2 linked regions of the Struthio camelus genome follow. The protein of the gene in region 2 interacts with the protein of the main gene of each other region in a pairwise test. Links are inferred from orthologs where the notes say so. Each region holds a gene or a part of one and is shown on either strand. Other genes may lie near its edges.

The links. The genes of interacting proteins can lie anywhere in the genome.
Region 1: the proteins of NMT2 (region 2) and ACBD6 interact in binary tests that used the Homo sapiens proteins (3 or more experiments, as listed by UniProt). The link is inferred for Struthio camelus from reciprocal best matches to the Homo sapiens genes NMT2 and ACBD6.

What each region holds. Positions count from the first base shown.
Region 1 is NC_090949.1:6,765,139-6,775,697, forward strand, and holds the start of ACBD6 (acyl-CoA-binding domain-containing protein 6), read right to left. Parts: upstream 4,294-10,559; 5' UTR 4,265-4,293; coding exon 4,070-4,264; intron 1-4,069. UniProt on the Homo sapiens protein: Binds long-chain acyl-coenzyme A molecules with a strong preference for unsaturated C18:1-CoA, lower affinity for unsaturated C20:4-CoA, and very weak affinity for saturated C16:0-CoA. Does not bind fatty acids. Plays a role in protein N-myristoylation.
Region 2 is NC_090943.1:24,860,697-24,870,837, reverse strand, and holds the start of NMT2 (glycylpeptide N-tetradecanoyltransferase 2), read right to left. Parts: upstream 4,703-10,141; 5' UTR 4,687-4,702; coding exon of another isoform or gene 4,638-4,686; coding exon 4,577-4,637; intron 1-4,576.

The DNA.
Region 1 (10,559 bases), on a different chromosome or scaffold from region 2:
CTTAAACCCACACCCGCTAGAGACAGCGTAAGCCCCGTTTTGCTAACGGCACTGGATTTCCAGCTTGCCTGAACCTCCCGTCATTTACTTAAATACTGGCACCTCCTCCTGCCAGCACAGCAGTTTTCTCAGCCCGATCACTGCCACCGAGGCTCCGGATTCACCCCCCTATTTGAGTGGCAAATACTGTATTGGTCTCCACTTCAACAGTTTCTGAGCCCCAGTCCTTCACATCTCCAGCGTGACAGGGAAGTGCTACTACCTTCACCTTACTGCTGAAGACGCAAGGTGCAGAGAGGACAAGTGATTTGCCCAAAGCCACACGTGCAGGAGGGGGAGAACGAGAAAATCAGTCCCGGTCCCGAGCCCTACCACTAGTCCATTCTTCCTCCTGTTCTGGAGCAGAGAGTCGTAAACTCAGCAACATCTTCTAAAAAGCTCACTGGAGATGACAACCAAGCAATTCCCTTATTTTCAAGTCTCTGACACATAAACAAAATCAGAGAGAAAAGTAATAAAATCCTGAAATGGCCTCCAATAAAAGGTAATAAAATTCCAGGAAAATGGTTATATACCCAAATAGTTTGAAATAAATAATGCACAGTATTTTAACAGAGAGCTCAGCTGTTACTGTCATCTCTTTTATGACGGTGCTGTATCTTAAATCAAAGCCTTTAGTGACATAAAACACTAGACTGTGGAAAGATAAGGATGCCAAATCAAGGACAGTGGACAGATCTGAGTCAGCACCTTTTGTACGCTAGCAATACTACTGTCCACTGGAGTAATATATTAGCAGCCCATTATGCATACTGATATGGCTGCTATAATTAAATAGAGAAAAGTCGCATTAAGTACCATTGCTTTGATTTAAAGCACAGAATGCTGCACAAAGTGAAGTTAGCAGAACCTAATCCTGCAGTAGCTGTACTAGCAAACTTCTCCCACCTTCACTGCAAGCGCTGCCCTCCCAGGCACTGTAAAACAAGGACTGCACCTTTCTGGGCTGTGCTGGACAAGCGACAGCGTAGCTCCTAACCCACCCCAAAACCAAGGTGCAGGAAAGCTCTTGCTTCCGCGTGCAGCTCAGCCAGGTATGACAGGGACAGAGAAGGAGAAGAGAGAAATAGGCTGATCCCACCAGCAGCAGTCAACTGGAAACCTGCCACAAATCTGTGCTGATGCACAGTAACGACTGGTCTTTTTAGGGCTTCTATCAAACCCATCATTGCTGTGAAATAGCTTCTGATTTTAGTAATTTTTAAGCCAAACATTAAACACCTTGTTGCTCTTACAGAGCCAGCACCAGGAAACGCCCTGTAGTCTGCTAGCTATCAAACTGATATGCAAGTAATGCCTTCCCTTTTCCATCCACGGCAGGACAAAACATTTGCAAGAAAATGAAAAATAGAGGTTATTTGCAGCACATCTCCTCAGGCTACAGAAATGCTTGTTCAATAATTACATGCAACAACAAAGTTTATAGTACAGAAAAACCCCTTTCTCTTCATCTCATCCCAGGCATGGTTCTTACAGTTCTTACTAAAGTTCCCCAGGTACTTTCCCCCACCTTTTTCTTAAAAGCAGAAAGAATCCTGTAGACCTGCTTAAGCAGCAGAAAAATCTGAAGACAGAGCATCACATGACCAGCCAGCACTTGACAGAATTAATGGCCCACAAACCAGTCTGAGAGCCACCAGCTTGGAGAATAACTAAATACTGCTTTAAAAAAATAAAAATGTTTTGAAGTGGCTGTAGTGAGACAGTATCTGTAGTGCATCCCATATGGGAGAAAAATTATGGGGAAGATGCACACACTTAACTTTGACTCTGCTAATCCGAGCTGATGCAAAAGGATCACATGCAAGTTTCAAGTCAAGGCAGCGTCTCTTGTCACACACACAGTCATATTTGTACTTTTATTCTTTAATCTCCCAGTTGTAACAATACTCATGACTTTGTTTCTCCAGGCTAACTAATTGTTACAGTCCTTTGTACCTTAGCTGGTGCTTTTTCTGTTTTGTTTGCATAGATTCTCCCACAGGAGCAGGAAAAACTGACACGATTATAAAAGGTGGGGGGCGAGTTATAACAGGGTAACACCAGCAAGCATGCTCAAGTTGGTTTTAATGCTTTGAACTATTTACCTATCAGTAAACCATTGTATCGTGTCAAAGCACCCATCCGACAAAGAACAGGAAAAAATTAAGCTTAGCTGATTATCCACAGAAGATATTTCAGAGTCCTTCGGTGAACAGAAAGCGGTCAGTTACAAAATGCTTGCCGATCTAGTCTATGATCAGACATACAGGCAGCAGGGAAATATCTCTATGATAACAAGTGTTTAAAGTTTATCCTTAACAAGGGAACCAAATCACACCATACATTCCAATAGGACGCATCCCAGAACTTGCCAACTCACGGGAACCGAATGGGAAAAGGATTCACATTCAAAATTATACATACAGCTGAGGAGTTTAATTTCCCAGTCCACACCAAGGCTCTGACTCCACGAATAGATCTGGACCGACACATGAGGCCACACCAAAACTTCAAAAGTTTAATGCTCACGCCCGGCCCAGTAATACAGAGCCCACTGCAGAGCTCGCATCTCTGAACGGGAAGACCAGCGCCAGCGCTAGCGTTGCCCTACAAACCGTTCAGTCGGCTTTTCTAACCTGCTCGTAGGAACTACTTGTAAAAATACAAAGAGAGCTCAGTTTCCTTGTCACCTAACCTACACAATGGAGCTGACAAATGGAAGTGAGACAGCGATATTTGTAAGATTACTCCACAAGTTACTCCACAAAGACTCAGCAAACTTTTCGACAGGCCAGCGACCCACCGGTGAGCTGTCACAGCACTGACTCCTCAGTGACTAAGGCCAAATCCTACAGACAATTTCCCAACTTCGAGCAACTGAGCAGCCCCCACAGGGGTCAAACTGAAGTTTTCAGCTCAGAGGCGAGCAGCTTTGTACTACAGTTACCCACAGTGAAGCAGAAAAGAATTGGAAACACCGTGATTAATTAAGAGGCTCTTTATCCCATTATATTTTCTCTAGCTTTATCATACGCAGTGTTAAGGCAACTCAACTTTTGTGCTTTAATAAAGAGCTTTCTACATCCTTATTTTCACAAGCTGGGTCGCCTTGCTCCTTAGGCAACTTTTTCCCACTTATCACGTAGGATACAGAAAGCATGTTTTTTGCAAGGCAGAGATTGCGGCCATCAAAGGACCGAGGCAAGGTGCCTCCAGGAGAGCCCTGAAGCAAGTAACTTTCTCTGACCAACCAGAGTCAGGACTTGCTCTATCCATTTCCAAACTGCCCTCAAACTCCTTCTGCACTAAAGGGTCTAACGGTTTAACCCGGGGTGCCCTGTACACACCCGAGGTCCTCATCCGGGACCCCAACAGGGCCTGAAACCTCGGCCAGGGGTGGAGGGGGGAAGACCCTGGGACCCACCTGTGGGGTGGGAAGAGAAAGAGAGGGGGCAGGAAAGAAGATACATGAGGCCTGGCTGGGGGAAGGGACCGGGGGGGGGAGGAGGTGGTGGAGGAGGTACATGGGGCCTGGCTGGGGGGAAGGGACCCGGGAAGGGGGGAGGAGGTACATGGAACCTGGCTGGGGGGGAGGGACATGGAGGGGGCAGAAGGTATGTGGGGCCTGGCTGGGCGGGGGGGAGGTACGTGGGGCCTGGCTGGGGGGAGAGATGGGGGGGCAGAAGGTACGTGGGGCCTGGCTAGGGGGGGAAGAGACACAGCGGGGGGCCAAGGTACGTGGGGCCTGGCTGGGGGGGGGAAGAGACACAGCGGGGGGACAAGGTACGTGGGGCCTGGCTGGGGGGAAGGGACACGGGGGGGGGACAAGGTACGTGGGGCCTGGCTGGGGGAGCAGAGACACAGCGGGGGGACAAGGTACGTGGGGCCTGGCTGGGGGGAAGGGACACGGGGGGGGCAGGAAGCCCGAGTGGGGGGAGAGGGGAGGCCCGAGGCGCCGGCGGGCCGGGCCGGGCCGGGCCGGGCCCCCCCGTCGCGGCGGCGGCGGCGCCCGGGGCCGGGCCCTCACCTGCTTGTACCTGGCGTACAGGTAGAGGAGCTGCTCCTTGCTGGCGGCCGGCACCAGCGCCGGCAGCCGCTCGGCCGCCTGCTCGAAGAGGGCGGCCAGGTCGCGGCCCGGCGGCGCCGGCTCCTCGGCCTCCGGCCCCGAGCTCGCCTCGCCGCCGCTCGCCGCTGCCGCCGCGGCCAGCGGGGGCGACGCCATGGCGGTCGCGCCGCCCGCTCCGCTCCGGTCCGCCCGCCGCGCCGTCCCCCCGGCGCGCAACGGCCGCGCCGCGCCTCGGTACGCGCAGCCGCCGCGCCGGGCGGGAAACGCGCGCCGCGCCCGACCGTTCCGGCCGCCCCGCAGGCCGGCCGGGCGGGGAGACCTGCCCTGAACTTCCCCGGGTAACTTGGCGCCGCTTCGCACCACCCGGCCGGTGAGGAAGGGGAAGCGCTCGCAGAGCGGCTACCACCATCCTGCACAAACAGCGGGTTACTTTTCAAACACCGCATCCACGCCCGACTTCCCAAACGGGCCATGGCCGGGTGCGAAGCAGCAGGGGGCAAACAGCGCCTTCCCGCGGGCTGCGCTGCGAGATGGCGACGATGCTCATGTTCTCACGAGCAGTAACAGCGTGATGGTGCCCACGGGCTCCGGAGAGCCCTCTCTGCCCGACGAAGAGGCAGCTCCCCTCCCTGCAGCCCAGCGAGGGTTAGGCGGAGGGTCCTGCCGGGCGGCAGCGCCTCCCCTCGGGTACGGCCTCCTTCCCGAGGGCGGCACCCGGGCAGCGAGGCTTTTGGGGTTTGTTTAATTCCACCCAGAAACCTGGCATTAAAACATCTCTCCTCTGCTTCTGAAGCTTGCGTTCTCCCTGCGAAGAGAAGGCGGCCAGTCCACTTCCGCCAGCTGCTCCTCAGATATTTCTCTCTCTCTTTTTTTTTTTTTTTTTTGGTTTTTGTTTTAAAAAGAACTATTGCCAAAACTGGATGTTCCCCCCCGGAGACCTCCAACCCCGCCGCAGCGCCGCTCTCTCACCCCAGCCCCGGCCGCCGCTGCCGCCGCTTGGGGGCGGCCCAGGGCTGCGCCTGGCGGCTCCGCTCCGCTCCGCCCGGCCCCGCCAAGCCCCGCCCCGCCCGGCCAAGCCCCGCCCCTCCCGGCCCCGCTCCGCTCCCTGGCTCCGCCCAGTTCTGCCCCGCCCCGCCCAGCTCCGCCCCGCCCAGCTCCGCCTAGCCCAGCCAAGCCCCGCCCCTCCCGGCCAAGCTCCGCCCCCCTGGAGAAACCCGAAAGCGCCTGTCGGCTGCCGGGGCCCGCTGCTGGCTGCCGAGCCGGCCTGCAGATCTTCGTCTGCGATTCCTGCCTGCTGAGGGTCTTCCCATACCTTTATTTTTATTTTTTTTAAGGGGGGGGTGATGGCATCTCCCCTCGCTCGAGCAGGAAACAAACCCGGGCGGCTCCGCAGGAGCGCGGGAGGCGTCGCGGCCGGAGAGCAGAGCGGGCCGGGGGCGCACGCAGGGGTGCCCGAGGGCAGCCCCAGCGAACCGCGCCGCGCGGCCGTCAGTCACCCTGCCCGGGGGATGCCCTCGGGGAGCGCTGGCAGGTCCCCCTGCCCTCGCCTGCACTGGGCGGGGGGGGTCCCGGCCAACGCGAGCCCAAAGGCGGTTTATATTTAGCCCGGTATCCGCTTGGCGTGGAAAGTTTTCCCTCCGCACAGCTGTTGAGTCCATCTCCCTTCTCCACCCCCAGCCTCAGCAAATGGCAGCTCCGAGTCATCTGAGGAAACCTGGCCCACCCCGGGGCGCCCAGCGGGTCAAGGAGCCCCGACCTGATCCTCCTCTGGCCTCTTTCCACCCTGGCCAGGGCGCTCCGCTCCTCCCCGGCCCGCCGCAGCCGCTCGCAGCGGCGCGGTGCCCTACGGCCCCCGCTTTGCAGGGGGGCGGACTGAGGCGAAGAGCGCCCGCCAAGCAGCGGGCCCCGCCACGGCTGGGGTTTGCGCCCCGCTCCTGGCAGTCCTGCAGCCTGCCTGACAGCAGCTCGCTAGCCATAGACCCCCCCGTTCGGAGGTCCCCCAGCTCGCCCCAGGCTACCGGCCGTGAGACACGCGTGGCGCAGCCCGGGTGCCGCAGCTGGAGGCTGCCATGGCACCTGCCGGCTGTCCCCCGGCCACCTCCTCTCGTTGCCCCAGGTGGCAGAGGAGGACCGCGGCCGTTCGTCACGGCACGCCCGGGGCCAAGGACAAACGGGCCCCGCACGCGTGCCTTGGGCCACCCGCACAGCTTCTCGGCACCTCCCTGACGCATCCCAGATGCTTCGCGCTCGTTTGCACGTGAGCGGCACGCGCGCCCCTCTTCCTGCCCTGGGGCTTTCAGAGGGAAACGCAGGAGCTGTGGAAAAAACCCCCTCACGCTGGAGCCAGAAATAGACTGGCTCTTACTCACTTTACAGCCCTTTCCCTGCTTCCCTGCGAGCAGGGTTTTTTTCTTTAGGGAGGAAAAAGCTTTGAGGTACCGTGAAACAACGCGGCTGAGGCAGTGAACTGGAGGGCTCCTTCGCGCCTCAGCAGACCCGCAGTTCAGGCTGTTTTGCTGCAAAAGCAGGACGACGTGAGGGCAAGGCAGGACGCGGGCTGCGGGAGAGCTGCAGCAAGGACTGCGCTTGGCTCATACCACGTCCCTCGGTCCTGGTGGTCACCAGGACCAGGAGGAGAAGGAGCACAGCCTTTGCTCAGCTGCTCTGACTGGGCCAGTGCAGCTGCCCTAAATAACCTACTCATTGCATGACAGGGCTTCAAAACTGCCTGCAGTAGACCTCTGCCCCCCACCCCCTGTTCTGGTTCACCCAGGGAGGAAGGGGGCCAGAGCGGAGAGAGGAAGTGGAGAGCAGGGAGAGCTAGGGGAGGTGAGCCCTGAGCTAGAGGAAAAAAGGGACCCATTTGCTGTGCCCAGCTGCAAAACTTCCTGTGCTCCCTCCCACTGGAGCCTCTCGGTGCTGTCCCTCTGTGCAGGGCCAGCAGGAGTGTGTGTGTGTAGGAGCGTGTCCTCCTCTTCCTGCCTGTGTCCCCCCCGTTCCCCACTGCTGTTGGTGGCCGAAGCTGTCCCGGAGCAAGCCACAGCTCAGCCTGTGTGCTACCCGTTAGGGCTGCACCAGGATCTGGGGGCCAGTGCAGGGTGCCCAGCTGGGGGAGGAGGAGGAGGAGGAGGATGGGGCTGGCCTGGCGCAGGGACAGGCATGCGCTGCACCAGGGTTGGGAGCACCCGTCCCCCCGTGCAGCCCTGTGCGCCCAGGCTGCCTGCTGAAGAGCCTGCCGGTGCTGTGCAAGCAGGTTGGAAGTCACAGCAGCCTCCTAGCCTCTGCGGAGGAGAGCGAGTCCCTGGCTCGAGCCGGGAAGGGGGGGAAAGGCGGAATCAGCTTGGCTCTGCTGCTTGCAAATAAAAAATAATAGCTCGTCTCGAGTGCATGACTAACACCCAAACTCATAAACAGACCGCAATATTTACAACGAGCTCTTCCCGCGTGCTGCGCTCCACCAGAAATCAATGAGCTCCATCCAGCTGGCGTCGGGGCTGCACGGAGCCACTTCCCAGCCCGGCTCCGCACGGCACCGTGTGCAGCTCCCTTTGCTCCCCGCGCTGCCGGCCCAGCACCCCGGGGCCCTGCAGCACCCCAGCGCTCAGGCGCGGGACTCCGCACGAGCAGAAAAGCCCTGCTGCCCCAAAGGGGCATGGAAAAAGCTTGGTTTTGTGCGTTGCACGCCAAGGCTCGCAGGCGCCGCGGTCCCCGCCGGCCCCGCTTGCCGCGGAAAAGCGCTGGTTGGTCCCGTTCCGCCAGCGTTCGGCAAGAGACGGCAACCGGGGCAGGGTGGCAGGATGAAACCCTCTAGGAATAGCTTGCAAAAGTACTTGCTGCAAATTGACTGAAGCGCACAGCCTCCGCACGGTTTCTGCCTCGTCTCCATGGTGAAAGAGGCCTTTGTTACCTTGCTGGGCTGCTTTGCTGAAGCACTTATAGCTCATACCAGATTTCTCTCACTTTTTCCTTCCCTTTTTTTAAAGAGCAACTGCACGGAGGGCCCAATCCTTCCCTCTACCCCCTCGCTTCGGCAGGCGTGGGAGCAGGTTTGCTACAAGCCACCCGGGGAGTTTTTAGGAGCTTGGCATGGGAAAAAGCTAAGGAGGTGGATAGCAGGCTCCAAAACGCTTCGTTTGCTCGCTGGGATCACGTTTGTTTTTTTACTGGTTCCCAGCGGCCGGGGGAGAGGGCAGGACGGAGACTCAGAGGGCCCTGGCCGTGGCACCCGAGCTCCCGCAGCCAGCACGAAGCAGGGCCGCGCACCGCAGAGCCCCAGCCCTCCCATTAAGAGCGGGGCCAAAAATCAGGCCCGTTCTCTCTCCGAGGCTCCGGCGGGCGCCTGGCTTGGTACCGGCAGCCGGTGCCCCGGGCTGCCCCGGACATGTCCCTCCTTGGCCTGGGGTCCCCGGTGCAGCCAGCCGTTTCGGCCAGCGCACGCGCTGCTGCCTGGGCATGGCTTTTCCATGCAGGCAATCAGCCCGCGGCTCCTGGCGCGGCTTTCTGCATCTTTTCAGCCCCAAATTAGCCGGGCTGGACCGGCGCCGTCCTGCTCGGCCAGGGCCCTTGCCCGAGCTGTGCGAGCGGATCGGCCCCAGGTCCCACGCTGGGCTCTCAGAGGCACAATAACAGGCTGTAACCAGCAGAGACGAGCAGGGAAAAAATATCCCCGTGTAATTACCACATCCATCATACTGGTCAGCTTGGAAACCCATCATTGTGCCTTTGTGAAGGGCAGGAGGCCGCTCTTCGCTTCCAAGCCGGGGCAGCCTGGAAGGAGCATCTGAAGGGATCCCTGGGAGCTAAGCTATGATTTTACGTTTTCCTTCCACAACAAAAGGAGAAAGAGGTCATTAAGAGCTGTTTTGTTTAAGCCCATTCATTTTACTGCGGGAGACACCTGGCTACGGAGAAAAAAATAGGTCACGGGCTGGAGCTGTGCGCCCTCCCAAGGGCGTGCGGATGGCCGGTCCCCAGCCCTTGAAAATCACGCGGGGGCCACGCCACCGAGGAGCCCTCGAGGTGGCATGTGTTGCCTCGGGCCCTTGCAGACCCGCGTCTCGGGTGAACGCGGGTCCCCTCTGAGCTCCTGGGCTCCCGCGCGGCCCCTCTCTCGGCTCGTTGGTCGTTCCCCTGCCTTTCCGGTTGGTTTTGCCCCCCCGCCGTCCCCCGCAGACCGCCCTTGGCCCGCTTCCGCTTTGCGGAGGGTTGGCTCTGGCTCACCTCGGCAGCGCGCCGGGGCTGCGGGGCGACGACGGAGGAGCACCTCCGCCGCCGGGCCGGGCAGGGCAGCGGGCGCCTCCGGGCTTACCGGCGTCTTGCGGGGGGACGAGCCGAGGGCAACGGGTGCACCGCGGACTTTCTGGGGACCCGTGCAACCAGGCGCCCTTTCCACGGGGTGGGAGCCCGTAGCTGCGGACGGCTCAGCCCGGCGGGCCTGGAGCTGCGTGGGTGACGGCCGCCCATCCACGAGCCATCTCGGCGGGGCGCGGGGCCGACATTTGGGAGCTTTTCTCCTGGCTGCCAAGTCCTCCGAGTTCCCGCTGCGAGACACCGGGCCGTGAGTTTCTGGAAGGAGGCGCGCCGATGTTACCCTTCGGGTTCGTTACTTTATCCCGTCTCCCCTTTCTATATTCTTTACCCGCTCTTGCATCTTTGCGAGCTCCTGTACCGACGCGGTCCTTTGTGGGTGCTCCCCAGCACCCACAGCCGCTACCCCAAAAGCAGAGCTTGCCCTCGCAGGCCCGCAAGCCGAGCAGAGCAGCCCTTGCCTTGTTCGGACCCACCAGGCAAGGCGGTGGCCCTCTGCGGCCGTGGCTCACCCCCGCCCCGCCGGGACGCTCGGCGGCTCCAAAATTCAATATTGGCCAGGGAGGAACCTAAACAAACGGCCGAGGTCTCTGCCCTGGCGTCGGCCGGGTTCGGGAGAGGTCTGCGGAGGAAAGGTCCCGCGGGACCCGGCCCCCCCCGCCTCCCGGGGGGGCCTCGCCGCCGCTTCTGCTGCCGGCCCGGCTGGCCGCTGTGATGGTTTCGCCCCGAGTCGATCCCAGCTGGGCGCCCGCTACGCTTTCAGACCCGCGCCGCCAAGCAATTTGCTGCGGTCAACGCGCGTCTTGGCGTCGTCCTGCCGTAAAACGGCAGATATGTCCGTCAGGGCTGCGCGATCCAGGCCAGGATCGATGCGGGTTCAACGCGGCCCCGGCCAGGGAACGCGTCTTTTATCAGACTTTATACAGCGCTGGGTACGTCTGCCGTGCGGGAGGAGGAGCGGGCAGGGACGGCGGAGGCGGGTGCAGCCGTGCGCCTGGGGACAGGCCCGAGGTGTCCCAGCTCGGGCGGCCGGGCACACGAGGGAAGATGCCGCTGGGAGATGGGACCAGCCGGAGGACGGAGGAACAGCAGGAGACGGGGCTGGGGCAGCCGGCTCTGCGCTGAGACCTGCGGCGATCGGCAC
Region 2 (10,141 bases):
ACTGCATCTACCCTGATGGTTTTACCAGTATGATGAATAAGAAAGAGTTGAGGCCAGTACTAAAGCGATGCACAAACCAAACCTCAGCTAAGGCAAAAGAAGAGTCAAGAGACCTTGCTCTGTCCCAAAGAAAATTCAACTCTGCCACAGAAACAGGCTGTAGGCATGACTTTGCAAAAGTTATTTAGGCCCACGTTTTTATGATTTTGCCTGCAAGTTACACATGTAAGCCCATGATCCCACCCACATACCTTTCCACTTATGTACACACATCTGGTGTTTTGCAGACTTGTCCTTCTCCCAGTGTGCATTTTTTTAAATCCGAAAAATGGGAATATCTGCTGCACTTAGGGAGGAGTGTGGCAAATGCTGAGAAACTTACTTTAGGGTGCTCTGAACAAAATTATGAAAAGCTCAGATGTTCAAAGAAGCAGGAGGAGTATTATAGTTATTCCACTCAGGTGGTCAAACTGTTTCAGTTCCCTTGCTTTTGATTTGAGATCATCTTTCCCAGTGAGTATTCTTCAGTGTTATTTTAATCATCATTTTTGAACATTAAATGCTGCTTTAGCAGAAACAGCTTCTTGTAATACTAACATATGTTTTAAATTATGTGGGGTGGCAATTTTAAGTCAGAAATTTCTCACTTCTAAAACCAAACATGTATTTCAGATGTTTATTTTTAAGTCGCAAAGGCCTAGGCCTGTATGGTTTTTTTCCTTCACCATATTTTTGTCTCTCTATGAGTAAGTGAGGTTGCAAAACTACAGTTCTGCACACCCTATATAGATCTCTTGGATCATAAAAATTAGATCTCATGTATATAGGCCAGACCGTAACAAACAGCAAAGTTACATTATTTATACTAGGGCTGTCCCTGGTTCATGCAGAAAACGGAGGCTTATGTGCAAAGGGCTTTCCTACTGCAGTATTAGAGGACCACCATTTTGAGAGAATAAAAAGTATGCTGACATGAAAGTCTTAAGTCCTTCAAATTTCACTGCTAAAACTACTACTGGTAACAACTGTCCTGGACTAAGGCTTCATTTTCATACATTTCAGTACTTGGAAATGCACAGGTTTTTTTGAGCATGAAAACCTACTAGTATGCCTTAAACCCTGATATAACAGGTACTCCCCAAAGCTTAGCATGTTTCGTCTACCCCTCCTTCAAGCCTGTAAGGCTATACTCTAGGAGTTAAGTCTCACCTGTCAAAGCAGAACTCTTCCTCCAGTGCCTTAAAAATTGTATTTTTTTAAAAAAAACTGAAAGTAGTACTGCTTATAAAGCTGCTATAGAATCATAATTAAAGGATTATGCTAATAAAATGTTCAAAGGAAAGCATTTATGAGGGTTTAGGGGTGGGAAGGAGACTTTTTTGTTTAAAGGTTATTAATTTTCCTCATCTGCTTATTAAATATTCTCTGTTCTAACCCCTTCTATCATACAGTATAGGGAGCTCTTTACAATGAACACAAAGCTGGGCTCAGCAAGGTGGAGTCAGGTGCAATAAACACAATTTTTATCTACATACACACTAAAAAAGCTACTTGGTAAACAACATTTTATTATGAAACCAAACAAGTACAGCAGAATGCATCTATCAGGAACATACTGCAGAGACAGAACAGGAGAATAGCAATATGAGTCACACAACATACATAATCTTGCATCTAGAAAACAGGAGCACAGAGGACAAAGACACTTGCATAGTTGAGAGCTATAAATTGTTATGTTCTGCTGCAGTCATTCAGTGCTCAAGCACATCAAAAAAACCCAAGAGTAAACTAAAAATCAATTCATGCATATATATATATATATATATATATATATATACATACACACACACCATATCTATTTGGGGTTAGTATTATAAAGGTGCAATTTCAAATGTCAAGAAACAGTTTCAGAGCAACTTCATACACCTTCCAGTCTTACTAGAGACTGACACGCAGAACACAGTCTACCTCCTTATAAGAAAGTAGCAGTTGAGATAGGATGACATTAAATATTCATCAGCAGCAATGCAGACCATTCAGAAGTTAACAAGTCATTGCCACAGTCACAATTTTAAGTTGTAGGACTGCTTACGAAATACTTAATTATATAAAAACTAATCTGAAAATTCAAAGCAAATTTTAAAGCTACTGCAAAAATAAATACATTACAATAGGGAACATGGGCTCCTACTACCATGAGTTAATTTCCTAGATCTGGAAGAGATCTTAAAATATTGTTGTGTTTGCTGTAATGTAAGACTTTTCATTTGATGAAATTTGTTCAAACGCTTTGGCCTGCAGATAAAGAGTAACAAACCAGATCTTCAAAAATTATGAGAAAATAAAACAGTAATTAGTACTAGACTCCATGGATCAAAGCCTGATAAGAAACTGATGTCTAATATTTAGAGGCTTTTTTCTACTTGAATGACCTACCATTTACTTCACTAAACTTCATGTACATTACTTTGAATAAGAAGCTGGATATTTCCAAGATGAATAAAGTGGCTTCTTTGAAATACTCATTAAAATACATTTTGGATATTCAACAAAAACAAATTTTGGAGAGCGCAGCGTATGGCCCATAGCCACATTAGTTGTCCCACAAAGCTTAGGGCCCTAACTTGGAGCACAACGGCAAGCTACGATGCAGAGCATGCTGAAGTGCAATTCTTTGTTCCACTGCTGCAGCTTATACACTGCTTCTGCACCCCCTGTCAAAGCAGCCCGAGTGCACAGCCGCAAGACCAGATATACAGCACAAGGCAACTACAGCTCGATCACGAAAACAAGCAGGAGAAGAAATCAGAGCAGGAATAACATCGGAATGAATTCTAGACAGCCATTACCAAGCCATCAAACAATCTGGCCAGGCACGTCAGGTTGGCGTCTACGAAGAGCAATAAATAATCATTCACTATTTTTAGTGGTGTTTCTTTTATGAATTTGGAAGCCAAACAGCGGCATAGTTATGCAAACAAATATAACAAAAGCCCCAAGATAATTAAAAATTATCCTGTCCCTTTTGTCAATAGCCTAGCCTCACATTACAATAATTTTTTTACACAATTATTTTAGCACGCTTGCCAAAAATGTGCTGAGAGAGTGGCAACGGAGGAAGTTTTTCCCTTTCCTACTTTTCAAACAAGTCAGCCCTTCTACCTCTCTCAGATTTTTCCTCACCATGTTTAAGATGCAGAGCTGCTTGTTGCCAAGCAAATCCGAGGGGCAGGAGTCGACATGCAGCTTACAAGTATTCTGCATCCTCCAACATCAATCACCTTCAGAAATGCTCTCAGCCAAACGAATCAGAAATTCATGGGGAAGATGTGTGTGTAGTGGTTTACAAATTAAACTATTTCTACTTCAGGCTACGTGAGCCACTCCTAGCTGTGACAACAAAGCATTTTCTCTTTGCCAGCATATTTTCTAATCCAAAAAGCAAAAAGGTAAATTTAAATGAAGTCAATTTTTAAAATACGTTCCCCCTGCTCCCCTCCCTGCAGGGCCCCAAACTGCGGAGGAAGCTCCTTGCGCCCAGCTGGGGCCAGGCAGAACACGCTGGAACGTCAATCAGGTGCAAGGGGCCCGCGCGCGTGGGCCACCTATCTTTTTTTCTTCCCAAGCACCCAGAGGAGAAATCTGATCTGCAGCGTGGGAAGATTTAAGCTGCGCAGTGAGAGGAGAGAAGGGACTACAACAAAAACACCAGTATCTGCTGTAGTTCACGTCTCGACAAAACACACGCTCAACTCTCCAGAACATGTGGATTTAGAGCTAATATTTCCTTTTGGACAATAGATGACGTTGCGTAGGAGGGGTACCGTAACGTAGCGCATGACAGACGGCCAGAGAGCGCGTCGGAAAAGGTCTGGGAGCGGGGAGATCGGCGGAGGGGGCGAGCCGGGGGCGCCCCTCCCTCGGGAGCGGCGGAGCGCGCGGGCAGAGGGGGCGCCCCACGCGCTCCCGCACCCCAGCGCCGCGACCGACTCCGCCGTGCTGCCGAAAGGGCAAGGGAGAAATAAGAAAACTCGCATCCAAAACTAAAAAAACAAAACCAAACCAAACACACAAAAAAAAAAAACCCGGAGAAATCGCGGTAAATAAGTAAATCAGCAAAGCCAGGGTTTACCGCTCGTGCGCCGGGAGCGACCACAGCGCCCGCTCCGCACTCCGGGCCCCGCGGCGCCGCCACAGCCCGGCCCGGCCCGGCCGCCCGCTGCCGGGGCCGGCGGGCTCCGGGCGGCCGCAAAGGGAAGGGCCGGGGCACGGCGGGCGGAGGGCGGCTGCCGGCGGGGTCTCGCTCCGCGGCGGCGGCGGCACAGGCGCAGACGCGGCGGGGAAGCGGCCGCGCCGCCATGCAGGCGGCCTGCGCCTGACAGGAGCTGCGCTCACCTGGCCCTGCCGCCCGCCCGCCGCGGAGCTCTCTGCGGCGGCGCGGCTCGGCTCGGCTCGGTTCGCCCCGCACAATGGCCGCGTCCGCCCCAGCCCCCGCCGCGGCAGCGCCGCGTTCCCCGCGGCGCAGCCCGCGGCGAGCCGAGCCGAGGCGAGCCGAGCCCGCCGGGCGCCCCCCTACCCCTTGGCGTGCTCGGCCTCCTCCTCATTGTCGCCGTCGATGCCGCAGGTGTCCTGGTCATCCAGCTCCAGGCTCTGCTGGCTGGCCGCAGACTCGCTGTCCTCCGCCATCACGGGGGAAGGAGGGAGGGCGGGGGGCGGCGCCGCAGCCTATGAAAGGAAGCGGGGCGCGGGCAGAGGCAGCCCGGGGGAGCCCCCTCTAGCGGCCGTCCTCCCCGCCCGCGCCGGCCGGGGCAGCAGCACCGGCAGCCGCGGGAGGCCGCCGCCCGCCGGCGCCTGCGGGCCGCGGCGGCGAGGCGGGGCGGGGGCTGCGCGGCGCGGCCTGCGGGCCCTGCCGCCCTCCCCGGGGGGGAACGTGCCGCCGGCCGCCAGCCGCCCTCAGCTGCCCGCCCGCGGGCTGGGGCTCCCCTCGGCGTTGGCGGCGTGGGCAGGACGGGCCCGTGGGCGAGCCAGGCCTCGCGGTCAGTCGGTGGGGCTGCAGCCGGCAGCCCGTAGCAGCACGCGAGTGCCTTTCGCCAACTTCCTACCTTTCGTTTTCATGCTGCGTTGTGCCACCGAAGTTGCTGCTGGTAGATGCTGTTGGCGCCTCCGTGGCCTTTCCTCTGCGCAGCCACCGGCTTTTGCAACACTTGGTGCTCTCCTGAGGTCCCATCTCCGAGCTTGTTACTGTTGAACTTAAAGGACGGTGCTGGCCCCAAAACAAACAAACAGGCAGGAATAATTTAGGCTGGAAGTTCAGAGGCCTCGCGCTTCTGAGAACCTGGAACAGCCTGACAGGAGAAGTTGTAGAGGCCAAAAACGCCACCATTTTATTGTGCTACTGCATCAGTTTGCTAAAAGTACTCCACGCTGTGCCTGTCTGTGGTACCAGACGTGATGGCACAGGAGGCTGCTTCTAACCCTACGTGTCTGTGAGAACTCAAAATTTTTACAGTAATTTTCCAAGTTTATTTCCTACAAGTTCCATGCTAGAAAAAAGGGAGTTCGAATCTTAAAAATTCAAGACCAAGAAAACAAGGAGAAAAAAAAACTTGCATTAATTAGTTGAACTGCTGGGATTTCCATGGTCGTATCAAGACTGCTAGGTGAAATTCAGAATGTTTGAACGCATGGTCTGGCAGTGCTGGCAAACATTGCACTAAAACGTAAAAGTAATATGCACCCATTGTAATTTCTCCTTATCCCTGCCACCCTCTTGAAAGTCACTTCATGGGAGGAAGACTTTTTTTCCCCATTTATGAAGTCAGGTTGTGTCATGTTTTGCTCTACCAGATGCTGCAGAGGTAATGTCAAATAGAAGATCTCACTGGCCAAGCAGGAGACAGCTAGATGTTCCTCCAGCTGTGCGCTGCTTGGCTGCTCTCTTCTCAGTCAAACTCTGCACCTGTGCATACCGAGCACCAATTCTGTGCCACTCCGAGTCCCATCGCACTTGGTCCTTTAAAACATGCGAGTTGCCGCAGGAACTTGTAATTCAAATACCTAGGATTCTCGAAGAGTGCAGGACAAATGAGGTAATGGGGAAAGATCCTGTGAGCTGCCTTTCAACTACAAAGATTCTCCTAAGCTGCCTCCCGACTCCCTTGTTCTAAGCCTGGTTGTATAGTGAAGTCTGGCGGAAAGTGCCACCCTTGCACTGTTAAATAATCACTTAATATTTGTTGTGTGCCACAGGTGGACTTGTGTGAGCCCCTCACACTTTGTTATGAAAAGACAGAGGGAAAGACAATGAGGTAAATGTAAAATCTAACAGCCAGTCTAATGAAACTTGAAGCAGTAGGAAGTGACTTTTCACTACCTGATTCTGCCCCCAGTTTTCTCTGGCAATTCTTGCTCTTCCTGGCAACTTTCTTCTCCTCTGTGCTTTTCCAGTGGTGTCCTGGGCAGGGTGCACTCTTTTACCCCTTTGCTGGGTTGCTAGAATAAACATGGTAATAAGAGTGCTCTCATGTTCTCCTACACCTTCCATTTGAATTTTGAAAACGACTATATGATTTTAAACCCCAAAATAATGAGGTGACGAAGAATTATGATGACATGGAAACAGGTGTAATATGTCTTAATTTTTCTTCACAACATGAACTTTACCACGGGCGTGAAACCTGCGCTGATAGGATTCTAACATGTGGCTTTGCCTAGAATGATTTGAGGACAGAGCAATTAAGGAGGAGCAATTAAGTTAGAAGAGAAGCTAAGCAAATCTCCTTGCCATGGATATTTCCATCCACGTGAAGAAAACTTCCGTTTTCAAGGTATCTGAATGGGTAATGCAATATGGTTTTAGCAAATGCAGGACCTATCATGATAAATTCTGATGTATCTCCTTTCATGACCATATTCAAATTTTCTGTGCCTGCAAACTATGTTGAACTTCCATTATCTGACAGGTATTTTCTGTCTTGGTAGTTTTCAAATCCTAGCTGTGATGACTGAAAAATTCAAGGGCACTAAATTAACAAGGCTAGAAACTACTCAACCAGCATACTCCAAATCAAATAAACGGTGACATAGCTTACCTATCTTTAAAAACAGGTGAAACCCAATTCTGTTCCTGAACATGGCTAAATTGTTAAGGCGATGTGTATCTTCCATAAATGAGCAAAGGGAGAGAGAAAAAAAAATAGATAAGTGGCCTACCCTCGACTATCGCAAAACTGATGGAGTGTGTAATTAACACTTGGCCACGTATGACCTCACAGCGTGAAGCCATCGCTGTAGTTCAGAGGGGAAACATGCCTACCACATTACCACAGTTTGAAGTGACTTTTGGAAGTGAACTTCTTAACTTCAGTCAGTTGTCCTGTGTAAGGGAAAGGAAATCTCAGAACATAGGCACAATTCCAAATACTTTTAAATAACAAAAAAAGGTAATGGTGAACAGCTGCAGGGAGAGGAGTTAACCTAGTGGTTAGTAATAGTTTTAATTTGTATGTTTTTCCAATAATGTGTAGGAGAAAGTGAGGAACAATATGTCAATGACTAAAGACCGATACTGAGTCATTCTGTTAGACAGACTGTGGTTTTAAGCCATCTTCTGTTCTTTACCACAATTTTCATCAACACATTGAGGAGAACGGAGTATGGGAAGCCTGGTAGTTAGTTACGGAAAAAAACTGTAGGGGATATTGGAGACGGCTAGGATTGCCGTATTCTGACTCTTCATGCCGTACACAGGGACAATAATGTCTCGCTCTCGGTTGCTGCCCCTGTGCAAAGGCCTCCCTGGAAGCGTGATCAGGAAGCGCATAGCTGCCGAGCTGCGCTCTTTGAGCCTTCACAGCGTCCCTGAAGGGCTACTCTAACAGCCCTACTTAGGGCAATTACACCTTACTTCCCAAGAGGCACAACTGAGAATATACTCCAGATTTGACTGTTGCAAGGCCAAATAACAGCACTGAATTGTCTTTTGAGTTTCATAAAGCTGCGACTTCTGCTTATACCACAAGCAGAGAAGTTGATCAGAAGGGAGAGGTATGCACCTCTTGCACCGAGGATTTCTCCAATGTCGTTTCCTCTGTTTCTGACGTTAGCAGACAGATCCCTAGAAGGTGTAAATTCATTCCATAAACCTCAGACACTCTTCAGTAGTTGCACTACCTGATAGATTTTGGCTGTCATATATATACGTGTCTTCCCCAAATACAGCAGCAAGGTGTAAAAAAGGTACCCCTCAAGTTCAGGACCCCACATGCCCAGCCATGCTGAGGTAGCTGAGTACGCTGCCAGTATACCATTAGCGCAGTCAGCAGCATGGGTGGCACCCAATATGCCCACACAGGCTGCCTGCCAGTAGCCTGCAGGCATCTCTACTTGCAAGGGCTCTGTTATGGCAGGTGGGTGCGTCTGGGACCTCCCAGTGCCCCTCTGTACAAGTAATGCAGACATAACCCACAGGCTTGTTCAATCTAAGCAGATCACCAAAAGCTATATGTTTCATTGTAAACTTAAAAAGTAAAGAGCCTGTGTTTGTTAGGGTATGAATCACTGTCTTGTTAATTGATAAAAAGCCCCCTTCCTGGATGCATCAGGAAGATAATAGCCTTTCATTTTGTAAAGATTAAAAAAGAAGCACAGTAATTTTACAAGAAAGCTAAAAAATGAATAGACAAAGGAGAACGGAATTCCTAATCAGCAGATACACTTCACTGAATACTAAACAGCGTACAATAAAATCAGTTAAATAATTCCAGCACTTGATGGATTAATGCAAGTTGCTTATTTTCAGTGGAGTCTTCAGCGTTTTAGTATGGAGTCCGAGTTTGCTTCTAAACGTAGCCAGAATATCTAGTCACTTACAGCAACAAATTGCTGGGAAAGGAGAAGAGAAAGGTCAAGGAAAAGACTACAGCCATAGCTCTGCCTGGCTGCTCACACCAGTGTCAGCCACCATGTAACAGACCAGTGTATAGGAGATCCTCTGCACTGCCACAAATCCCAGCTTTTTGCACCTTTGCCTGTCCTAGCTCTCTTTCCAGGTTCTATTTCCTCCACTTTCTATGACAGATACAGTCATGCCCTTCTCTTGAGTACCCCAAATTAACCTTTGCCTGCAATTCTGAGACGCTTTGAGCCATTTTGGATGTTAGCATATGAACATAGGCTGAAATCCCCAAATGGACTTTTGTGTTGCAATGTTTAACTTGTTTCTAGATGACTCACATGGTGAAATCTGAAAGTCAAAATGGGGCCTTAAAAATACTCAAAATTCAGTGCCCAAAGTGAGCTTGAAAGACATCTAGGCTACCAAGTGGGGAGCCATCTAAACTAGCCAAGAAACACCGGGGATAGGGATGTCTTAACTCCTTTGACTCTACAGGGCTTTTTCGGATCTTGCCTATTGGATTAACCATCAACTGGCAGCACGTCTAGCGTGTGGTTTATAACAGATCTTAGAAGTTTAAATAATGTAAGGCATACACTCTAGATCCCAAATCACTTCTGTAGATGTCTTCCTCACCTGCCTTAACTTTTTTCAACATCCCCTTAAAAATACAAACAAGAGAACTACAGCTAGCATCCTGATGTTGGTGTCACTAGTGCCCATGGAAATAAAAATTGCCTCTGTCCTCAGTATTCCATTGTTTGAAGGCAAGCACTAGAAGTTTTTATTGAAGGTGTGACACTGGAAACTCATGTTCAGCAGTTTCACATGCCAAGCTACCGACAACAATATGAGAGACAGGCGGTTGTTCCAGGAAGCATCCCAAACCAGTTGTAAGGACTTACTCAGAAGTAGCATACAGCACAGATGGGTTGAGTTTCAAGATAGCTTGAGGCAAGATATGCCTCAGTAGTGACAGAAAAAGTATTTTGGTATCAGGAATAGAGTCAAGTTTATATTTTGGTATTTTATTTCCCATTTGTTTTAATTTTCCAGCTTGCTAATGAAGCAGCTCAACTCTGCTTTTTTAGAACAAAGTTGTGTGGCGATACTAGTAAACTCGCCTAGCATTAAGACAGAATTAAGGTGAGTTTCACAGATATATCATATGGATGTTTATTTTGTAGAAGTTTTGTAGATGGGACAGGCAAACACTCTGGAAAGTGCAGTTTAATGCAGTGCTAG